Alligator mississippiensis: one gene and its partners. The protein of the gene in region 1 purifies or fractionates together with the protein of each later gene. This does not show direct contact. Links are inferred from orthologs where the notes say so. Each region holds a gene or a part of one and is shown on either strand. Other genes may lie near its edges.

Evidence for each region.
Region 2: the proteins of SIRT6 (region 1) and USP48 purify together in Homo sapiens (affinity purification with mass spectrometry; 3 studies listed by BioGRID, with this or other methods). This does not show direct contact. The link is inferred for Alligator mississippiensis from reciprocal best matches to the Homo sapiens genes SIRT6 and USP48.
Region 3: the proteins of SIRT6 (region 1) and G3BP1 purify together in Homo sapiens (affinity purification with mass spectrometry; 3 studies listed by BioGRID and IntAct, with this or other methods). This does not show direct contact. The link is inferred for Alligator mississippiensis from reciprocal best matches to the Homo sapiens genes SIRT6 and G3BP1.

The regions. Positions count from the first base shown.
Region 1 is NC_081839.1:5,436,088-5,443,341, forward strand, and holds the start of SIRT6 (NAD-dependent protein deacylase sirtuin-6), read left to right. Parts: upstream 1-4,203; 5' UTR 4,204-4,255; coding exon 4,256-4,321; intron 4,322-5,467; coding exon 5,468-5,595; intron 5,596-7,254. UniProt on the Homo sapiens protein: NAD-dependent protein deacetylase, deacylase and mono-ADP-ribosyltransferase that plays an essential role in DNA damage repair, telomere maintenance, metabolic homeostasis, inflammation, tumorigenesis and aging.
Region 2 is NC_081836.1:2,276,491-2,283,828, reverse strand, and holds the start of USP48 (ubiquitin carboxyl-terminal hydrolase 48), read right to left. Parts: upstream 3,053-7,338; 5' UTR 3,014-3,052; coding exon 2,880-3,013; intron 1,000-2,879; coding exon 879-999; intron 54-878; coding exon 1-53. Other genes in the region: LDLRAD2 (low-density lipoprotein receptor class A domain-containing protein 2), read left to right, coding at 6,379-6,475, 7,056-7,338.
Region 3 is NC_081832.1:75,769,784-75,777,289, forward strand, and holds the start of G3BP1 (ras GTPase-activating protein-binding protein 1), read left to right. Parts: upstream 1-4,489; 5' UTR 4,490-4,597; intron 4,598-7,506. UniProt on the Homo sapiens protein: Protein involved in various processes, such as stress granule formation and innate immunity. Plays an essential role in stress granule formation.

The DNA of each region.
Region 1 (7,254 bases):
TCCCCAGAAAGCCCTGCTCTGCCTGCTGGGGAAGGGGCCAGGAGGGTCTGCTGCTTCACAGAGGCAGGGAGATGGGAGAGGATCTTCCAGGAGAGAGAAGCGAGGGAGGAACTTGAGGGAGGAATGCTTGGAGCAGCCAGAGCGGTAACAGGTACATGCACCCCAAGGTGACAGGAAGGGGCAGTGGCCTAAAGGCAGAAGACAAGGGATTGCCGAGGCTGCTATGGAGCCTGGCGACTGCAAGACGAACCAGCTGCCGATGCCTGGAGTAGTCAAACTTCATTACAACTCCCCCACCCTGGAAACGTTTCGGGGGGGGTTTCCTCCTTCAAGCCCTTCCCAGCTGATGGCGTGCAGGAATCTCCCAGTGACTCATAGGGGATGGAGGGGGAAGTGTTAGGGGCTAGCCATTGCATTATCTGCCTGTGGGAGGGGAGGAGAGGGGGTGTTGGAGGAGCAGTTCCCGTACTTGGAACAGGCACCATGGGATTTTAAATGAGCACAAGCACTCGGGACCTCTCTCTCACTTGTCAGTGGAAAAAAACACCCACTCCAGCAGCCGAGCACTGGTTCATGGGTTCATCATGGTGCCCCCGACCGACCGCCCTCAGATACTCACTTCACTCTTCTTAAACCTGGCCCGCAGGCTCTTCATGGTGGCTTTGTCCCCGTGCTCTGGGCTGCAGGGGGTAGATCTAAACGGGGGATACAAAGCAGCTGTAAGATCCTAGCAAAACTCTGGCCCTTCATCGGCAGTCTCACAATCAGTCTCAATATCTTCCTGTGCCTCCTGCCCTGAGGGTCCTGATTCGGGGTGCTCACCATGTTCGAGAGGGGAGAGGACTGGAATGGCATTACATGTGGCATCAGACCACGGCCCTCCACCAGCCGGCTGCAGGGCATGGACGATGGGCACTGTAGGGGCTCAAGGCTCTGTAGGTACAGACAGGACACTCAGCCCCAGGCAAAAATTTTGGCTGACTCTTCATTTTGGCCCTGACCCTGCAGGATAACTCATGTTAAAGGTCCCTCCAAGCTGCCGGTCTCTGACCAGCACCTCCTCAGCACCTGGGAGCTCACCTTGGTGCCCAGGCGTGTCCCAGCCATGGAGGGAGGAGACCTCCTCTCTGTGCCTGTGCTAACACAGCCCCCACCACAACAGGGGTGCTAGAGGCTGGTGATGCCACAACTGGAATATAGATGGAGGGGCCAGGTGGAGTCTGTGGCATTTGCCCTGGCTATTGGGTGTGCTCATGTGCCCGGGAGAGAGCGCAGAGTCCCGAGACAGGGCGCTTCCTGCCTGTGCCTCTGTGGGAAGGGGAGAGGCTGGCAGTCTGGTTGGCCTTACTTCTGCAGCCTCCACCTCTGCAGACCCCATCCAACGCCCAAGACCTCCCTGCCCACGAATTCCTGACCCTCGTGTCCACAACGCCCCGAGGAAGAGGCGGAGGCTGGATGGGTGTGTGGGGGGCTGCTCCCTTGTCACCTCGTGCCTCTGGGCAAAATTCCTCCCTGGACCCCTTTGAGGAGTATTGGCCCCCCCCCGGTCTAGCCCTGTAGCCTTGTGTTTGCTGCCAGCAGGCCTCCATGCCCCCACCCTCCAGCCTCAAGGTAGCTCGACAGCCCCCCCAAAGGTACCAGTCTTTTGGGCAGCTGTTTATTTCAAATGCATGCACCCCTTCTCCACCCGCAGGCTCTTCCTGCCCCGCTGCTTGAGAACGCCGGAGGGCTGGGTCTCCCGAGGAGGCATATGCCTCCACATGACTTCAGTGTGGGCTCCCCAGGGCCTGAGGCACAGGCAAATTAAGGGTCCCCCATGGCAAAGAGACAGAAACCAGGAGTGCTCATCCTCCATCCTCTCGTCTAACCCCCCCCCAGCCCTGCCCTGCTGCACAGCCCTCTATGCCGTGCTGTACCATGCTAGCACCGGACAGGAACCCAGCCCGTTGGCATTGCTGTCAGCTGTCAGGGCCATTACTTTTGCCTAGGGACCTGCCTCCTTGCCAATCTAGGTGTTTGCATTGGCTCTGGAGCAGTCTCCCAGGATGTCAGAGCCCCTGGGAGTCCCTGCACTTGTACAGAGCAATGAATGACTTCATATATTAGCCCTGACTTGTTCAGCTGCAGCAAGAGTCCCTCAGTCCTGATCGCAGATGTGTGAAACCTGCAGCTCCAGGGCTACCGGACTTTGGGCCAGTCTCGCATCTTCCCTCCAAGCCCCATCCCTACCTTGTTGATACCGTCAGGTGCAGCTCGGGCAGGTTCTCACTCCTCTGTTACACGTTCAGTGCCAAGGGCAGAACAAACTCTGAAGAGTCTCCTTACTTCTGTCTTGATTGATGGGAGCTCACCGTATCAGAGGTGGCCCAGCCCGGGTGAGGCTGTGTCACTGCGAATGAGGAGAAACCAGGGGAGGGACATCGCTGCACTGGGAATTGGGTTACTTACCTGCTACAGGTACGATTACCTTGCTACAGCGGGCTGCAGCTCAGCGCTGCACGGTGTCCAGGGCACTACATTACTCTGGAGCTGTGTCTCCATCTCTGAGCATCTCCATAGTCCTGAGTAGCCCAGATGTCACAGGTGCAGAGCACTTCTCATCATCAGGCCCTCCATACCCCTCAGGCTCCCCACTAGCTCTGGGAAGCCAGGGTAATTATTCTCCATGCATACCATACCGTTAAAGAACCTGGAAAGCAGCAGCAACAAGCAAGGGAATGGAGGGTCCTGTTCATGGATGGCCTCTAGGCCCTGATCCTGCAACAGGCTCCACACCTCGCAGGGACATCCCCCATGGAGCAGCCTGGGGACTTGGTTTGTAGAGCTAAAGGTTTCCCTTGATCTTCAGCGTGCAAACATGACAAGATGTTGCCCCGTGATTCCTTTTCTTTTCTCTAAGGCTTTGCTAGAGCTGAGGGACCCTCCCACAATCCCTGGGAGGTAGGTATTGTTTTTTTCCACATTACAGATAGGAACAGAGAGTCACAGACATGGGAAGCGACTGCCTCAAGGTCACTTGGTTGGTCAGGAACTGAGGTGGGAAAACCAGGCACATTGAGCACCAGGTCCAGGGATCGCACAATCCTCTTTTCTGTGCCGAGATGACTGGAACCTTTAACCCACCCGGAGCTCAGCAGATCAGGACCTGTGCTTGCTAATTAATGGATTTTTTTTCTCTAGCATCTATAGCAGGCTGGGCACAGAGTATTTGAGCAAGTAGACATGCTCCCAGCCAAACAGTGGACTGTAAAATATCTTGCAAAGACTATGAAGGGAGAGAAAGAACAATGCACAAGCCTAGACTTCGCAGTGGCAGGAGGCCTGCTGAGGAGTGCTGGAAATGGCTTGCAAAATCCAGTACTGAAAGGTACCATTGGGTCGGCTTTGTCCTTGCCCCCTGCTTAGGCATCGCAGGGCTTCCACTTTAGGACAGGTGAGGCTGCACATAGGGTGTTCCCCAAGCAGGAAAGCACCAGGCACCGCAGCCCATCCGTGGCCCCACCAAGTCCCAGGACCTCCCAGTCAGCCTCCGGCCAAGCTGGCCATCTGCCAGACCAGGACAGAGGCTCAGGCTCAGGGAGCCTGGTGATGTGGGGCTGTCCTCTCACTTCTCCAGGCAGTGTCACTGGCGGGTGCCCGCAGGCTCCCCCGACTCATTCAGGGGGCAGCGGGCGCTAGTGGGCGCGCTCTGCTCCGTGTCCCCTTGGATCCCTTGTTTTGCACCCGTGACCGCGCTCCCTTCCCTGTTTTCTTTTCAGTCGTCCCAAGCGGTCAGCTGTTGCGCTCTCCCTTTCTAACGGGGCTCCCAACTTTCACAATCAACAGGCCTGGAGAAGCTACAGGGCACCTGCTGCGCCCCTTAGGCAGCCTGGCTCTGCTCCCTGACAACTGTGGGATACGTGGTATTTCTTTAAGCGCCAGCTCCTGGAGTCCAGGGATGGGGGGGATCCCCTGTCAGAGCAGCAGGTCCTGCAGTGCTGCTGCAAGGAGGACCCGCTGTCCTCCCCCAGAGCCAGGCACATCTCTCCCCCTGCCAGGTCCAGGCGCCTGCCCCAGCTCTGCCAAGGACGGGCAGAGACCTTTCTGCCAGGAACCAACATGGCGGCACCGCCACCACCGCCCGGGGCTCGTGCGCATGCGGAGTGAGGCACGGCGGCTTCGCGACGCCCGGCGCGCTTCCGCCCGGCCGGCAGGAATTGACAACAATGAGAACTTTATTGACAGCGGCGCGGAGGCGGGCGGCGGCTGCGGGGCCATGTCGGTGAATTACGCGGCCGGGCTGTCCCCCTACTCGGACAAGGGCAAGTGCGGCCTCCCCGAGGTGAGTGGCCGGCGGTGCAGCACCCCTCGCCCCTCCCCCACCTTCAGCCCCTGGGGGGGGCTGCTGCCCCATCCCCTCCCCTCCCCCACCGCCCTTCCCCCCCATCCTAGGGCCTGGCCCCGCCCCCACCCCACCTTCTGGGCTCTGGCCCCGCCCCCTTGGGTCTAGTCCCGCTCCCCATCACCCCCTCCTGGGGTTTGGCCCCCTCCATCCCCTGCCCAGGGGACAAGGCACCTGTGCTCCCCGCGCCCCCACTCTGGCAGGCGCCGGGGGGGCAGTGGGGTGCCAGGGTGCAAGCCCCGCTAGCCCAGCCTGCCGCGGGGGTGCCCCCGGCCCGGGCGCTGCAGAGCGCTCCTTGCCCCAGGAATTGGGGAGGCCTGGGCTCTGCTTCCTGCCTGGGCAGGGGCCGGCGCTCACCTGTAGCTGGGGTGTGTGTGTCCCCCACACGCAACATGGCAGGCGTGGGTTGGGGACCAGCGGCCACGTGCCATCAGGTTGTCAGCCCGGCGGGCAGGGGGTCTGCACCGCGACGTCTGTCCCCTTCGGTGGAGCAGGGCCTGTCACCCCAGGGAACGGCTGGTGTCCGTCCAGCCCCATGGAGACTAACGTTGCCTTGGACGTGTTGCTCGGCAGCGTCGCCCGCGGGCAGCGAGCATTGGGCTTTGGTCTGGAGGCTTGGCCTGTGTCTCGCGCCATCCTTCCTGCAGGCCGGCGGCATTTATTAGCTGCCTGAGAGGGGCAGGGCTGGGCCTCAGGGGCCCCGAGATCTTTTTCGGGTTCTGCTGTGGCCAAGTCATGTCACTTAGTAAAGTCTCAGTTTTCCCACCTGTAAAACGGAGGCAAGGAGGGAGGGTATCTATTGTTACCTGCTTTGAAGAGAGCAGCAGTGAGAGGGCAAAGTATTTCTCAGCCAGTTAATTACTTGCTGAAATCCAGAGCAGCTCCTTGCCTCTCTGAAGCAGATTGGAAAGGAAGATCTGGATGTCCTGAGCGGGGAGAAGTGTCCTCTCTAAGATAATGCTCTTTCTACCCTGTTAAGTGCTGATGCACTTTAGCTATCAGCAGCAATGTAATCTTGTTCTCCGTCTCTTCCTGCGCTTGGGGCCATGTGGGAAACTTATTTCTGTCTCCATTTCTTTCCATCAGATCTTTGATCCTCCGGAGGAGCTGGAGAGGAAAGTGCATGAGCTGGCCGACCTGATAAGGAGTTCTTCCAACGTGGTGTTTCACACTGGGGCTGGGATCAGCACAGCCGTAGGGATCCCCGACTTCAGGTGAAGGAAGAAAGATCCTGTGTTGTTGAAGCAGAGTGGGATTATGGGTAACGTGGCATGCTGAGCATTAGCTTTCTCCTGGTTGCTATGCGGCTATAAAAATTGATTTATATTTCTGTACTTCGGTTTCACCATCTATAAAATCTCTGTAGTGCACAGGCAAGAATTCATGTGGGTGATATCTTGTACTGGAGGAACTGCGTGGTTGGCGTAGGCTTTGGGGTTGCAGTATTGTTGCTCAGGTCTCTGGGAGAGAAGCAGGCACAGGTATTTTGCAAAAGTTTAGAAAATGCCTTAAGATTTGCGGAGGAAGGGGGCTATGAGGAGGTGGGGGTGTGATGGAAGGTGCCTGGAGTGATCACACTGATGGTGTTTGCTAATGAAAAGTGATTTAATCCTGGCAGCATTGCCAGCCCTGGCTTAGTGACTCAGTGGGTTAAGTGCTGTAGGGAAGATGTCCTGTTTCCTCATTAATTATAGCTGTTGTTTTTCTGATTTTTTTTTTTTTTTTCCAAAACGCTTCTCTGTGGCTGTGGGATGTTGGGATGTGAAAAGGTTGCTTTCCTTCTATGAACTCCTAGCTGTAGTTTGGTCTCGGGTTTGCTACTTCATGGCCCAAATGGGCTGTGATCGTGCGTTGAAGTCCATGGGACATTTCTCTGGTGCCGGTTCTGCAGTAGTAAAACCGTATCCCAGCGTTCACCACTCAGTACAGTTGTTTGGTGTGTGCTGGGTAGCGGGGGAGCCCAGAGAGACTGTGAAGCTAGGTAGTTACGTTTGAGGCTGTCTCCTAATACTGAGCAGCTTCTGTATCTCTGGGCTGGTCTGTTCTTTTAAACAGCAGGTGACACCATGCCTTTGGAGACCGGCCTGGGAAGCTTGTGAACAGGGGTTGGGTCTGTGGTGCCCACTGGGGCGATTTCTTGGGGGATTAAGCCTGGTATTTTGCCATAGTTGAGTTTCCCATTGTGGCTGCTCCCTGCTGGTTCCCTTCGCTGCTGAGGGCTGTGGCTACAGCCAGACCCATGCATCTCATCCCTCCAGAGAGGGGATTGTGTGTATAAACTGATGCCGTGCAGTTTCCTCTAGATACACCCGCTCCCTGGTGATGCGGCAGTACCCAGAACCTCCCTGCCCGGTGGTTCCCCTGGCCCGCAGGGCTCTGCTCTGACAGCAATAATCCATGCTCAACTATGAAGGACACTGAAGTTGCCCAAGGGTGTATCACAGCCCAGGCAAGAGCAGGTGTTCCCTTGGTGTGAAAGCACGCAGGGGAGGGGATGTTTTAAGGGGATGTAATTAAAAGCAATGGGATGAAAATGAAGAAAAAACAGTGTGGGCAGGACATAGGGAAGGTCTTGGTCACAGAGGCTCAGTGTATGGGCTGGCGTCTCAGGGAAAGAAGTGGACGCACCATTTCTGTGTCCTGCAAAGCATGGGAAAAACTTCCTTGTGATGTTATCTAGCCTGCAGCGGGATCAGCTGGGTCCCACCAGTCTTATCCCGCATCAAAGCTGCCACGTGGTGCGCTGCTCCCTAGGCAGGGGCCTGTGCTGCTGTCCAGGCTGAACCCAGAGATTGCTTAAGCCAGGTCCTAGGAGGTAAACGTTACAGTGGCTTCTTCTAGCTTGCTCCACTGCTCCTGGCAGCCTGTTTCCC
Region 2 (7,338 bases), on another chromosome or scaffold:
AAAGTGTTCACATAGCATGTGGCTCCAAGGTTTGTTAAGCCTACGAATGCATTCTAGTATAAAGAAGAAAGCACCAGTTATAATTATTCCTACAAAGAATCATAGAAAGTAGGGCTGGAAGGGATGTCAAGAGGTCATCTAGTCCAGCCTCCTGCTCAACACAGGATCATCCCCATCCAAACCATCCCATACAACTGCAGGTCTACTAACCTATTCCCAAAACTACACAGATTAACCCTGTCACACAAAACTACAAGGCACATTGTCCCAAAACCCCAAAAGGAACACACTGGGAGAAAAAAATCCAGCTGTCACATGCTTGTACTTTGTTCTTGGTACTGAGCACCGGTGGCTTTATAGAGGACCTTCTCAAACTTTCTACTCCCCAACTGCATGACTACAATGAGCACAGCACAGCATGCGTCTGTTATGCTGCTTCTCTGGGCATTATCTGAATGGATTTCTAACCCACCTGCCTCCTTTCAGACCTGACAAGCAAGACTGGGCAAGTAATACTTTAACTCAGAGGTTCCCAATCTGTGGTACGCATACCACCAGTGGTGCGCAGACAACCTGTCAGTGTCAAGGAAAATAAAAGGAGTGTTGTAAAATATATGCTGAGCCAGTGACAGTCGGTCTCAGATGAGAAATGAGAAAAGCGCAACTCAAATCTTTGAGAAGGGAGAGTTTCAGGTCTTGTTTGTGGTGGAGAGCTGACGCTCCATAGCAGGGAATCATGCAACACAGTATCTATCCCCAGACAGAAGACGTACTCGCTCATCAGCCCTCATGGTGCAAACACTTCAGATCCTGTGTGCGCAGATTATTTGCTGGATTGGGGGTTATAGCTTGTATAGGAAACAAAGAATCTCTTTTACCTTTTTCCTGCGTTCGGAATTTGGGTCGTCGATATTGTGAAAGCTATTCTCATCAATTTCTCCCAGCCAAACGTGTTCGCCAATCCCAACCAAACAGTTTGGGTTTCCTCTGCAGTTTCTTCTACAAAAAACCAAACACACTCATGAAAACAAAGACCGCTGGTTCAGATCATGCGAAAACAAAAACAAACCCCCCAAACCAGGAAGCAACAGCAAACTGTATTATTTTAATTAGCAAAACACAGGAAAACAGAACACAGGACTAAAAACATGCAGGCGTAACTTGAGAGTCTTTTTGTTGGGAGCAAACGCTTTTTACCCTCTAGCCTATAGGTTTGGTCTACTGTTGAGTAGGCTGGAGGCAGCATTTAGAGCTGTTTACCTCTGCACGCTTCATCAACCACAGGTATGTCACTAGAGAGGAGTAGAAACCCTGCTTTCATCACTAAAAAAAAAATTAAAAATGTTCATTTTAACAAATGACCTTATGTTTTTTAAAGGGATTTCTACAGCGTAAGCCCCCTGCATGTCTGACAGAAATATACTGAAGCTGGATGTTGAACCGGTTCGATTCCCAGAGGCAGGCTTTCATCACAAGGGAAAGGTTCATTTAGTTTTACAAACAACTTATGCTTTTAAACGGATGTCTACGGAGAGCACCCCTACCTGTCTGACATGGGAGTAAGTTAAGCTGGATCTTGAACAGGATCAATTCTCAGAGGCAGCCTTTCACCACGTAAGGAACAGTCGCTTTATTTTAAGAGGATTTCTATCGGTAGCACCCCTCGTAGGGGTACTGACACCGGATCTTGAACCGGTTCAATTCCTAGAGGCAGCTTTAATCCCAACAGAAATTTTCATTTTGTTTTACAAACCGTGTCAGTTTTTAAAGGGATTTCTACAGCAAACGTCCCTTGCAGGTCTGGCAGAAACGGACGGAGGCTGGATCCTGAACCGGTTCGATTCCCAGGGGCAATTTTCATCGCAGGAGAAACTTTTGTTCCGTCTTATAAACATTACGAGTTTTAAAAGAGGATTTCTACAGACGGCATCCCCCACGTGACGGGCAGAAACGTATTGCAGCTGGATCGCGAACCGGTTCGATTCCCAGAGGCAGCCTTTCGTCACAAGGGAAAGTTTCATTTTGTTTTACAAACCACGCGAGTGTTTCAGGGATTTCTACAGCGAAACAGACGGAGGCTCGATCCCCAGAGGCAGACTTGCCACAAAGGCGGTGCGTTTTTAGAGGGGTTTCTGCAGACAGCACCCCCATCTCCCCGGCAGAAACAACCGCGGCTGGATCTTGAACCAAGTCGATCCCCAGACGCGGCTTTCGCCCCAGGAGAAACGTCCGTCCCGTCTTACAAACCAGGCGCGAGCCTGAAAAAGGATTTGTGTCGCCAGCGCCGCGGCAGGAACGTCCCGACGCCGGATCTCGAACCGGCTTTCGGCGAGCGAGACGTTTCCGATTCGTTTCACGCGCCGGGACTGCTTCCGCGATGGGCGCGAACGGACCGCGGCCGGTTCGATTCCCGCGGGCCGGGCCGCCCGTCCTCGCGGGGGGAGCGGGTGTCTCGTCTCCTCGACGCTGCGAAGGGGATTTCCACAGGCAACGCCGCCGTGTCCGGCCGGACCAGACGGAGGCCGGCTCCTGACCCGGCTCGGGTCCCGGCGGCAGCTTTCGTCGCAGGAGAAACTTCAGGCAAGTTTAAAAAGCGATTTCTACGCGCAGCGACCCGATTCGACTCCCGGAGGCAGCGCGTCCCCCCAAAAGGTGGGTTTTTGGGGGTTTTTTAAATGGATTTCTACAGAAACACCCCGACGCCGGCCGCGAGCCGCTCCGCTCACCACAGGGGCACTTTTGCTCCGTGTTGACAAACGAGGGAAGTTTTAAAAGGGATTTAAACATTTTAGCGGGATATAAACAGCCCTCCCCACCCCCCTCGCACACGTCGCACCCCCTGCGGACACGGCGCGCAGCCCCCCGGGCCGGGCCCGCACCTGCAGACGCCACGGCGGCAGGGCTCCAGGCCGATGCGGTAGGCCGCCTCCACGTGCTCCTGCGCCACCTCCTCGGGCGGCACCGTCTCGGTCCAGCGCCAGGCCGCCTTCTCCAGCTGCAGCCGCGGCGCCATGGCGGGCCCGGGCCTGCTCGCCCACTGCGCCTGCGCCCTCGCGGGCGGCGCCGTCGGCGCCTGACGTCAGCGCGCCGCGCCGCGGTGCGCGGGGTGTGACGCACGTAGCGCGCGCCGCCACGCAGGGTGGAGGGGCGGGGCTGAGTGAGGCACCGCCCTCCTCCTCCTCCTCCTCCCCCCTCCCGCTCGGGAGGCGAAGGGGCGGGGCCACCACCTATATAAAGGGGCAGAGGGGGGCGGGGCTTGCTGAGCCTAGTGAGGGGGTTCTTGTGGGGGGTCTGGGCTGTGCCCCCTGGGCTCCCCGTGCAAACCTCTGACCCCTGGCACGGCAGAGCCTTTGAGGGGCTCTGACCCAGTCCAAGGGTCGTGGCCCCCCCGCGGTCCCCCCACACAAGCGTGGCCTCGGGGGCCACGGCAAAGCCACAGCCGCCATCCTCGTGCCCCACCAACGGGCCGTGGCACCGGTCCCTCGCCGCGCGGCGGCACCTGCCCCACTGCCACGGGATGCCCCGTGCGCCCATCCGGTGTCTCTAGTCGAGCCCCCGCTGCCCGCGTGACGGGGTTGGTGCCAGGGGCCGCAACCCCTGTCAGTGCCGCGGGGGCGAAGCGACGCGAGCAATGGCAGGGAGCTCTTTTGCACGCGCACCCACACGTGCACACTTTAGATGAAGCACAACTCTTGGGACAGATCACTTCCCACTCCCGCCTCCATAAGTAGAGCCAAGGTTTGTCTGTTATGCGCTGAGCTGATCGAAGCCACGCAGACATTTTGCCGGTGTCGAGGCGCTTTGCGAGTTTTGGCTGGTACGAAAGACACCTCCCCGCCCTTTGTATTTGCACCAGAGACGTCAGTGTGGCGTGCTTTATGAGCACATCTCGGACTGCCGTTGAACGAGCTGACCCGCGTGCAGACAGCGCTGTGACACCATACGCGCGTCGCTACAGGGCGGCTGCTTTAAACCAAGGTGTGCTTGCTACGGACGTGCAAAATCTCCAGCGTGTTAAAATCAACGCGCTGTTTCGAGTTTTAAGCGTACAGCTTTCTGATCTCCGTCGTGTATCAGGATTTGCCGTTCATTCTGCATTGCGTGCGCACAGCGATGCAGCGTCTGTTTTAGTCACCCTGCTATTGATCCATAATTTTAAAAACTGCCTCCAGTTTGGTTATTTCTTAGGCGCATTCTGCAAGAAGACTTCAGGGAGCTGCATTAGGCCATAATAAATAAAAATTACCCATTAAAAATGGTCTTTTCCGGTGCTGCTCTGTGGTTAATTGTCCTAGATCATCGAAGTGGATCTCAGGGCAGTTTGAACTGGCTCAGATTGCTGTATCTGAAGACTCCCCTGGGTGACACGTCGGTAATGTTTTGCAATGACTGAGTTTGAGGAAAAGATGCGGGTGTCTAGCCCGAGTTGGTAGGGCAGGGCTTTTGCTTCTGGCCCAGGAAGCAAAGGGCTTCACAACACATTCCTTGGAGAGAGCGAGCGCTAGGCAAGGATTGCTTTTTAACCTGTCTGTCGGAGCAGGCTCTGGAACCAGATGCCTTTACAACAGAGGTGGTAAAGGCAAGTTGCCAAGTCTGGATTTGCAAGAAAGAAGCAATTACTTGTCCAAAGAAGATGTCAGCCTGGAAAGCTTATTTCAACAAAAACTGGAAGCCAGCAAATTGACTGTAGCATCCATAAATGTCATTCTTAGAAGGCCTGACTATGTTAGTCACCTGCTGAGCCATAGCCAAACATGACTACCAAGGGATACGCAGAGAAAATTCAAGCTATTTAGCCCAGGGACATTATCATCTCATGTGAGGCACTGGGTGTGTGATCCACCAGGTCACTCGTTTCATGTTTACCCACGTTTAACCATTTGGGTTTTTAACACACATTGATTTAAATTGTTTTTTCCGTGCCGAGGTATGTTGTTTTTCAAATTAAAGTCGGTGCCCCCCGCCCCAGTTAAAACAACCCAGATCTTTGCTCTTTTTGGTAGGTGTTTGGAGATAAAAAACATTCTCCATTATGCCAGCTGGGCACACAGCTCGGACGTCCCAGAGACAGCAAGTTGTTGCATTCGAGATTAGAAAGAAATGACTGGAGCCAAGTGTCTGGTGGCTATCAGGTGCAGGGTCCATGCTAGCATATGCATGCTGTTTTCCAGTGAACCATCGTCCCAATTCAGGGGAGCTTTAACTCAGTCTGGAGCACTCACAGGCTATTTCAAAGTCATCCTCCGGTGGGGAATTTGTGCCCTAATTATTGCGCAGACTGCTACTGGAAGAAGGGAGGCGAATGGGCCCAAGCAATGGAGGGGGGAGAAGAGGAGGGGAAAGTGGGATGAGGCAGCAAAGACATGGTCATGCCAAAAGGTCATCCCAGACCGAACAACCTGTGGTTGAGACGTGCTCCGTTCTGTGGCCAGCACCCCACATGGCTGGCATCGCAGCTGCCTTTCCCTCTCCATCCTGCATCCGTAGGGGAAGCCTCTGGCACCCTTTTGGAGCAGGGTTTGAACTCATGCCTCTGCAGCTTTGGCAAGATGCCTTAACAGCTCTGCCAATGCAGCCCGGCGAAGAGATGTGCAGGGGCCAAAACCTGTGACAGCAGCAAATGGCTCGCCTGCTGCAAAGCGGTCTCTCCCCCGTCTCGGCAGCCACTCCGATGGACACAAACCCCTCGTGTTTCTTGACTTCCCGTCCTCTGCTTTGTATTCAGCCCGGTGCTTTGGCGTGTGCTGGCCAGGTGCCTTAGGAGCTTGCTGCATGGGGGACTGCAGTGGTTTTCATCCGTTCCCAATCAAACCCAACCCTCTCGTTGTTGGCCTGGAGCTCACAGTGCTTGGCCTCGTGCCTCTCTGGGTTAAAGCTCTGGTACTTGTCTGCCCCGCAGCTGTGCCCTCCATACCTCCTCCTCGCTGCCCGGATCTGGGCCGTGCCGGGATGCTGTCACTAGCCTTTTAGCCTTGTCGTGGATGCAAGTCCTGGGCAGCACATTGCATTGTCCTCCCCCCCCCAACCCCTTCTTCCATTGCTCCATCAAACTCCTGGAGTTTCCTTGGCAACCCCCTAACACAAATCCTGACCGTAAAAAAGCAGGATGAAGCAAGGACAAAGGGCAAGCTCTGGGAGTCCTTGTGCCCAGACAGCAGCAAGAAAAAAAAGGCCTCTTCCCTTTAATCAACACCCAGGGCTGCTGCCTTTTGCTGTCCCCTCTGTTCCCATGGCAGGCCACGCTAAAGGAGCCCCCAGCCTGGTTTGCTCACGGGAAGCCGGGAGGCCGCCGCGCTCCTCAGTCTCCCAGCTGTTGCCATCCCAGACGGCGCGTCCTGCTCTTGCTCCGGACTTCGGGATCTGCGCCGGTGGAAAGCGATGGCGAAGAGCAGCCCGAGGCACTGCTTGCGCCTGCTGTCCGGGTGGCTGGTGCTGTTCAGCTGTGCGGTGGCGGAGGTCTCATCCATCGAGACAGGTACCGCGGGCTTTCCAGGACGCTTCCTTTGCTCTCTGCGTGGGGGCTAGAGTTCAAAACCTGTAGGTTGTTTCCACCAGAGGTTTCCTGGACTTTGAGGGTACTTTGAGGGTATTTTTCCAGCACTCTTCATTCATACGGGTGTCTAAAGAGGGTGAATAGGATATGGACTGAATGGAGAAGCTACTGCTTTGCTGCACCAAAAGGAGCATGCTTCACACGAGCAAAGAGGAGACCACATAGCTATGGGTGGCAGTGGTCATACGTACCGGCCTCGCTGTGTGCCAGCAGTGGTTTTCCAGCTCAGGATTTGCTCTAGGCCCATGCTTTTCTGCTTGTGCCTTCTCTGCCCCCAAATGCATACAAGTGAAACCAAGGCTCAGGGGGAGTGTGATAGTGGGGGGCTCATGGGGGGCATTGGTCCATCAGCTCCCGTGCTGAGGCTGTTGCAATGGCCGAGATGGGGGGAAATAAAAGACAGGTGACTCTGATCTTTGTTCCTGCACAAAGCCAGAAGGCAGGGCCAGGCTGGGTCTGTCCCAGCACTGGATGGTGACCCCCGTGGGCTCTTCCTCCACAGTGAGCCTGGTGGATTTCTGCGGCCAGACGCTCCAGGACAACGGCATGATTGTCACCTCTCACCGGGACTCGCGGCGCTATTACTTCGTGGCTGTGGGCACCGACTGCCACCTGGTCATGCAGGCCGCGGCCCCCCGCGACAAGGTCCAGTTCCAGTTCCGGTTCTTCCTGGTGTACAGCCTGCTGCGCCTGCCCCTGCCCGGCGGCCCTGCACCCAGCACCACCGCTACCCTGCCACCCCTGGGCAGCCCCAGGCCACCGCAGACCCCGTCGGGGGGCGACCG
Region 3 (7,506 bases), on another chromosome or scaffold:
GAGCATAGAGGAAGTTTAAAAGAAAACTCAAAACAACATCCTGAGTGCAGGGACAGGACCCTGTAGCCGGGAGCCTGCGGGTTTGAGTGCCAGCGGGAGCATTGGCACAGCTCAGTCGCAATCCCCACCTCTGAATAGCAGCAGAAAGGAAACCAATTCCTTCCCAGACCCATGTGGCAGCCCACAATGCCAATAGCCTGGGCAAAAGCACAGGCTGGGTCCACAGAGAAGCATCCCTTCCTCCCGAAATGGAGCTGTGGTGGGTGCGTGTGTTGGGAGGGGGGTGAATCAGGGAGGAGTTCCCTTCTGCAGCCTTCCTCTACATGTGGTGCATCTCTGCCCCTCTCTCCCGCCAGGCCAGGCTCAGCCACCTTCATTACATAAAAAGTGCATCCCCCTTTGGACGGCTCCGAACTGGCCTGGTGAAGTGGAATGGGTGTAAGTGCAATGGTTGAGGAACCGGGCTGTCCCGTACCCCGGACCTGCGCAGTATGTGTCCCCTGCCCACGCAACTGTCCCTCTAGGCCGTTCTGACGGCGGCGATTCCTCGGTGCCTGTCCCCCCGGGTCGTAGCTCCCGTAATGCCAACTCTCATGAAAAAAATCTCAAGACTCCTGTTTTCCAAGTCATATTAACTGTGACTCACGATCTCCTGATTAGAGAGAAAAAATCTCAGGGGTTTGTTTTCTTCTGGTCCGAGTAGAGAGCGCCAAGCTGGTAAGTCTATGGGGGGGAAAGAAAGGGGGGCAGATCAAGGACCCTTGCTCCCAAAACCACAGCCTCCCCATGCAACAGAGCCATGTGTGTATGTGTGTGTGTGTCCCTCACTCCCAAGCCACAGCCCCGCTGCTGCTTTCACTCCTGCCCTACAGCACCCCACATCCTGCCAAGGTGTACAGGGACACCCCCCCCCCCCCCGTTGGCTCCAAACCCCACCCAAACCTTCACAAATAACACCTCCCCCACATACACACACACACACACACTTCAAAACCAGCATCTCATGATTTACATTCCAAATCTCTTGATTTTTAAGAGTCTGTCTCTTGCTTTTTGACACTGGGGAGGTGGCAATACTGCAGCTCCCAGGAACACGGGGTTTCAGGAAAAGTAGGAAAGCCCCCACAGAAGTAGGGCAAACCGAGGGGAAAGACCGCAGCAAGTGTCAGGACAGCACGGGGGTTGCACGCGAGAGCGCTCGCTGCTCAGAACCACAGCAGCGCACGCCCTCAGAGGGAATCGCTGCACTCTCTGGTTCGAAAGAGGAGGAAAAGCCAACCGTGCAGTAGTTAACGTTGCTAGTGGGTGCGGGGGTGTTGCGTTACTGGTGCTTCCGGGAAAGACATGCCCACCGTGCAGCAAGAAGCAATACAACTAGTGTTTTTTGCAGTCACGCGGGTGGCAAGAACCATCCTAGGTTCATGAGCCACATCCGACGAGGCAGGATTTAGACCAAACTGCCCTTTATTTCACCCTGCTGAAAGCAAGTCTAATCTACACTATAAGTGAGCCCGCTCCCTGGGATGGAAGATATTTCATTAGCAGGTTGTGGGGGGTGGCGTGTGGTTCTTAGGTTTCATCTTGGCTGGAGGAACTTACCTCGGATAACCTGATAGCGCTGCAGGGCCTCACCCACTTACATATTTTTCCTCCCTTCCCCATGGGGGTAATGAGCCAGAGCTGGTAAAATTTTGGAAGAAAGGTAAGGGATTTTTTTTTCTTTTAAAGAAATAACAAAAGATTTCCACTCTTAATTAGGAAATGGATTAAAGCTGATGTCAAGTGTGCCTAATAATTACTAGGAATTTGATTGGGTTTGGGGGGGGGGTTGAATTTTTCCTAGCTAAAGTCTGCTGGGGAAAATAAAGTCTCATTTGAGTGTTGGGGGGTGAATTGGGGAGGGTCAAGGCAGCCATGTGAGCCAAAGAGGTTTGAAAGGCTGGTGATTCAGAAACTTTGCAGCTGGTTTGATGTGGATCCTTGGCAGCTGTGAGGGATTCAGTTTAGCACAGGCTGCCCTGCATAGCATGATTAAAGGGCTAATATCAGTGTGGGATACAAAGGTTGATGGGGGAGTGGGAAAGGGAAATGGCTGTGAAGATAAGGCTGGAGCTGGTTGCGTTAGGCTAGCTGGGAGGCATTGGCTGGGCTTTGTTTGGTTGCTTCGGCTCATGAGATTTAAGAGATTATAGGGGTGTTGTGTGGGGTGACAGTCTTGTCGATGCCCCATGTGAAGGGTCCGTGTCCCAGTCTTTGTAGGGACTCCCTTGCGGTCTCTGCTTGGTGGGGAGAAGCAGTCTGCTTTTGGCCCCTGTGTTTGCTTATCCCCCTGGAGAAGCGGAGCAGGGGAAGAGCGTGTGGGAGCTGGGTCCCAGGTGTGCGGGGGAGAGAGGTGTTTCCCGTGGGGGTGCAGAGATCCCAGGAAGGATGGAGCCGAGGCTGGGAAGAGCGGGGTCACTGCAGGACTGGAGTGAGGAGCGTCGGCAGAGCGGTGCGGGGGGCCTGGAGCAGGGATCAAAGGAGTGCAGTAGGTCAGGGTGGAAATATGTCGGCAGGGCTGCACGGAGGGGGAAGTCACAGGCAGCAGCTGTCTACTTCATGCCTGGCTCAAACTTCCCTTTCTCCCGTATCTCAGGTGGAAAAATCACCAGATATCTCACGCTCTGCTGCCTACAGCAAGCAAAGCTGTTCCACAAACCTGGAAAAATACCCATTTCTAATAGGTGCCCCCTCCCAAACTTGCTTTCTCCCTGGGGGCATCAGCAGCGCATCCCACCTGGAAGACAACACCAAGTCTCCTTAACACAGGGGTCAGGCTGGATGCTGTTTTGCCGCAGCCTCTGGTCACTGCTCTAATAGGAGGCACTGATCCGGCTCTTTTGCAAGGGAGAGGTGACTTGGGAGCAGGGATCTCTGCGCTCTGACGGGTGACCGAGGTCCCCCTGCACGGCGGAGAGAGGGGGGCTCTGTTACGTGGCTGTCCTGTGCGGTCACTTGCCTCCTATTAAACTCAGCAGGGGCCTGTGCCTCTGATTTATGAGCTGGCGGCTCGCAATGCAGCTCAGTATATAAATAGCAAGGGGGGGGGGGGTGCAGAAAGGGAGGGTATTCATGCCACGGATGGCATAAGGCCAGCCCCATCCTTGTGAATCCCTGCCTGAGAGCATGGGGGAGGCGGTTTCCATGACTTGTCCTCCCGTGGCCTTTGATTCCTGCTGTCCCAAACCTGGGTAGCATGTGGCAACGCCCTGGGTAATTACCACTGCTTCGAGCTAATTAGTCCAGCAACGCTCCTAGGCTAAAAGCTGCTTGGGGAGTAGCATCTCTGCTTGCCGCCGGCGGTCCAGCGATGACCGCTGGTTTGCACGACGGTTTCTACCCGTGTGTTGGCTCGGGACGAGGCCTTGCTATGGGGTCTGATATGACCCCCTCTCTGGAGGGTGCCTGGGTGGGGACGGGGTAATGCGCGTGGACGGGGAAGGAAGACTTGGCCTTTTTGGAGGAGCTCCTAGGAGCAGGTGGATGCCACCGGCGGAAGGTGCCCGGGGAAGCTCTGCGATCCCCATGGCCAGAGAGGTGAGACCCCGCGTCGTGCTGCTCCTGGGGCCGGGGTGCAGCGCTCCACCCTGGACTGGGGACGTTTTTAGGCGGGGGGAACTTGGCTTTGCATCTGTTTGGTTGCCGCTTTGTAGCGGAGAAGTGATGGCAGCCACGTGCTGGGCCATGGGGGTGGTCGCGGAGGGGCCGTGGGTGCCCGCCGAGGCTCTGCAGGCTGGAAGGTGCGTGTTGGGCCGGGCGTGGGGGGCCTGCAGCAGCCCTGCAGGGAGATGGGGCTGGGTCTTGTACGCATTAGGGGGAATTCATGAGTGAGTGGGTGGGTGGGGGGAAATCCCGGGTTGGGAAAACCAGCATGGGGAAAAATTAATGGGGCGGGGAAAATCACGCGTGGGGTAAGTGTGCTGCGGGTCGCGCGTGGGGCTGGGACAGCGCGCAGCCGTGCAGCCTCCCCTCCAGTAGGGGGCGCTCTGAGCAGGCAGAGCCGCGGCCCCTTTAAGACGCCGCAGCCCGCGGCCTATCGATCACGGGCAGGCGCGCGCGCTCATTGGCTGAGCCGCGCCAGGGTTGCCGCCCCTGCCTCCACACGGGGTCTCCCTCAGAAGGCCCACGGGCTGATCGCTACGGCTCAACCGCACTCGGCAACCCGTCCTGACTGACCCTTGCGCCTTAATGGCGATGGGAGCGTCGCCCTATTGGCCGGGCGGCCAATCCATCCAGCCTTATCCCACCTCCACGGCTTCCCTCTGGCTTCCTACTGGCTGCTCCGCGCGCCCGGCCGCTCCAACAGCGCCGCCGCTCCGTAGGGCGGCTCGCCTGCCGCTCAACCCCCTTCCCGCCTCTTTGCCCACTCGCCAGCCAACCAGCTTCCGAGTGGGCCAAGTCGCCGACCTCCCATTGGCTGTGGGCGCCGCCGTGGGGCTAGGCTGCGCCGCGGCTATATAGGGAGCAGCCGGTGCCGGAGCACGCCGTTGCGTGAGGTGCTTCTCGTCGCCCGGTGCTGAAGCGACGCCTCCCGCTGCCGGCCCCGCTCCGCTCGCAGGTCAGCGCCGCCGCCCGGCCCTGCTGCCGCCGGCGGTTGGTGCCCCGGGAGGGGGGGGAGGGGCGCGTTCCCCTCACGCGCGGGGGTGGGGCGGGCGGGGGGAGGGGTCGCGGCCCAGCTTTGTCCTCGCGCGTGGGGAGGGAGGGAGCGGGGGGGGGAGGGGCGCGAGTCCCGCTCCCACGTCCGCCTCTTCCCGCCCCAAGAATGAAAGAGATGGCGGCGGCGGCCGCGCACGAGGGGCCTTGGGCGGGGAAGAGCCGGGCCCGGCTCCGCACGAGGACACCCGCCTACTTACCGACCGGCACACCTACCTACCTCCCCCCGTCTAACTACCCACCCACCTGCCTGCACACCCACGTACCTATAGCGACAACCTCTCTGTGCAGCTATCCATATAATTAATCTATATACATATATATATATATATATTTTTTCCCCCCAAAAAAACCTTCCCTACAAACGGATTTCGGGCAGGAGCGGGTTGAACCAGACTCGCTGGGATCGCTGGTTCGAAACCTCCCTGGGTTGGTTTTTTTGTTTGTTTGTTGTGTCCCACCACCCAGCACGGTGGCAATTCTCCTTCGTGACGTCTCGCAAGCGTGCTGCCTTACAAAAGTTCGTGGCAAAACAGCCGTGGCTGCGGGGGGCTGGAAGGGCCCTCGCGAGATGGTGGGGTCCGGCCCCCTGCCCTAGGCGGGGACGAAGATGGGCAATAGGATGTCTGCGGGGGGGGGGGGGAATTAGGCAGGATCTGATGTCTTTTAAGCTTTTCTTTTGAGTGGTTACCGAACTATCTGCACGTGCACGTATCGGGGGGTCTTGCTCCATCTCCCACAAATTTAGACTTCGTAAACCACTTCCAAAATACCGCGCAGGACGTAAGCATGCATGGTAGATACCTTTTTTTCCCCCAAAGGAACTGAGCTCTGGTTGCTCAGCTGCATTTTTTTTTTTTTTTTTTGCTCCTTTTTTTCAAACGTGAATGTTGAAGTCATTTTTTTTTTTTTTCCTCATTTAATTTATACATTTCAAACCTGTGGAATTAAATATTAGCGTTCGTGGGTTACACGCCTGTCTCCTCTGTGTAAGCTTTGGGTAGGTGAGTTTACATTAGGACTGGATGTAACCAATACAGAAGCAGGAAGATGTAAGCCACGTAGGAGAACACGGGGCAGATGCGTTTCTGTCGGGATGAAGCTGGCTGCACAAATACAAACCGACTGGAAATCTCTTGTAGGTTCCTTCACATAAAGTGCATCGCAAGGAGTTTTGCGTGTGGATCTTGCTTTGCTCTAGGCAGCCCCAAAGACAGCTAACTCAACAGGAGCAAAAGGAGTATTTTGTGCAATGATCTGCCAGTTCTTGTTGCCTTCAGTGGCTGTTCAGGTGGAGATGGTCCAAGTTGGTAAAGCCCCAAAGTTGGACTTGCACATATTTAAAAAAATCTGTTAACACTTAACCTATAATGTCCACAGGCTATTTCTTAGTGGAAGTAAGTAAATGGCTTAAAGTCCTTTTAAGCTTTAAAAGGACTGTTTATAAAACACATACATGTTTTAAGAGATTTATGATGTCAGATCTTTGTCCCCTCTTGTGCTTCAGGAGCATTGTCCGGACTAAAGGGTAAACCAGGATCCTTTTAGAATTGCTGTTGCACTTCAGGTTGCTAGGCATATATAGCATGTGGAGCAGCTTTGGGGTGTAAATTGTGCTTGCCTGTGCTCTCTTGCACATTGTATTGTGCCATACTGTACATGGGAAAAGCAAGAAACTGAGGGCAGGTGCCTTGTATTGTAGCTACGAATTGTTCGAGGGCTTGGCTCATAACTTTAGTAACTTGGAATGGCTGAATTTGACACATGATGGCCCATGGGAAGAGTTAGGAAACATTTATGAAATTAACGGCTGAACTTTCAAATGCCATCACTCAAGCCTTTTTGAATGTTTTTCAGTGACATGGCAGGTGGGGAAGTTGAAGAGAAGTTGGGAAGCCAATTAAACTGAAATGGGTCTGGGATCTCATGACAAGAGATGCTGTCTTGTGAATATGCACATCAGTTTCTCAGCCTGCCATACTTAATCTTTGATTTAATTTAAGTAACGAGACTTTCTGTGGAGAAGCTGAACATGCGCACAATGTTTGAGATGCGTTTTAATTAATGTAACTGACTGAAATTCCAAATCATGTTAAAATATTAAGTATGACTTTTCCAACTAAAACTATTATGGATTCTTTGGCTGGAATTGTTTTCAACAGCCTTGACTAGGGCAGAAGAAAGGTCTGATATTAAATACAAATGATAGAATATCAGACATGCTCATTTCATACTCGACTGGCATTGAACATTATACTTGTCTAAGGTCTGAGACTTAATATAGTAAGGCTTGGACCAATTCCAGAAAGAAACAGCTAGTCAGTTATAGCTTTGAGGACTGATCCTATTTGAAGTATCAGGGTAAGGTACGCATTTTCTATGCTGTTAGGGAGTTAGGGGCTGATTTAAGAACTGGTTCAGTAGCCACTTGCTGCTTCTTTTGCAAGCAATTCCCTCATCTAGAAGAGAACTGCTAAAAAGTGTATAGACATTGGATTTCTTAACTTTAGCACTCATGCACAAAAAACTGTATTAACCTGGTATTATGCTTCTAGGGTTAACTGTCATGGTCAAAAACCCTTCACGTAGCACAAATACACGTGGTGTTATGTTCGCTAAGCTTCTGCAGGCACTGATCCAATACCAGAGATCAAAACTTTCTTATCCCTCGCTTAGGACCAGCAGTTGAGAAGACACTGCGTCCTAGGGTTTTACGTAACTTGGTATAGAAATGCCCTTGGCAGATTATAACTTTGCTGTGCCTGGAAACTGGAAATTATTTGACCCTCTCAATGATGGAGTTGGTCTCAAATG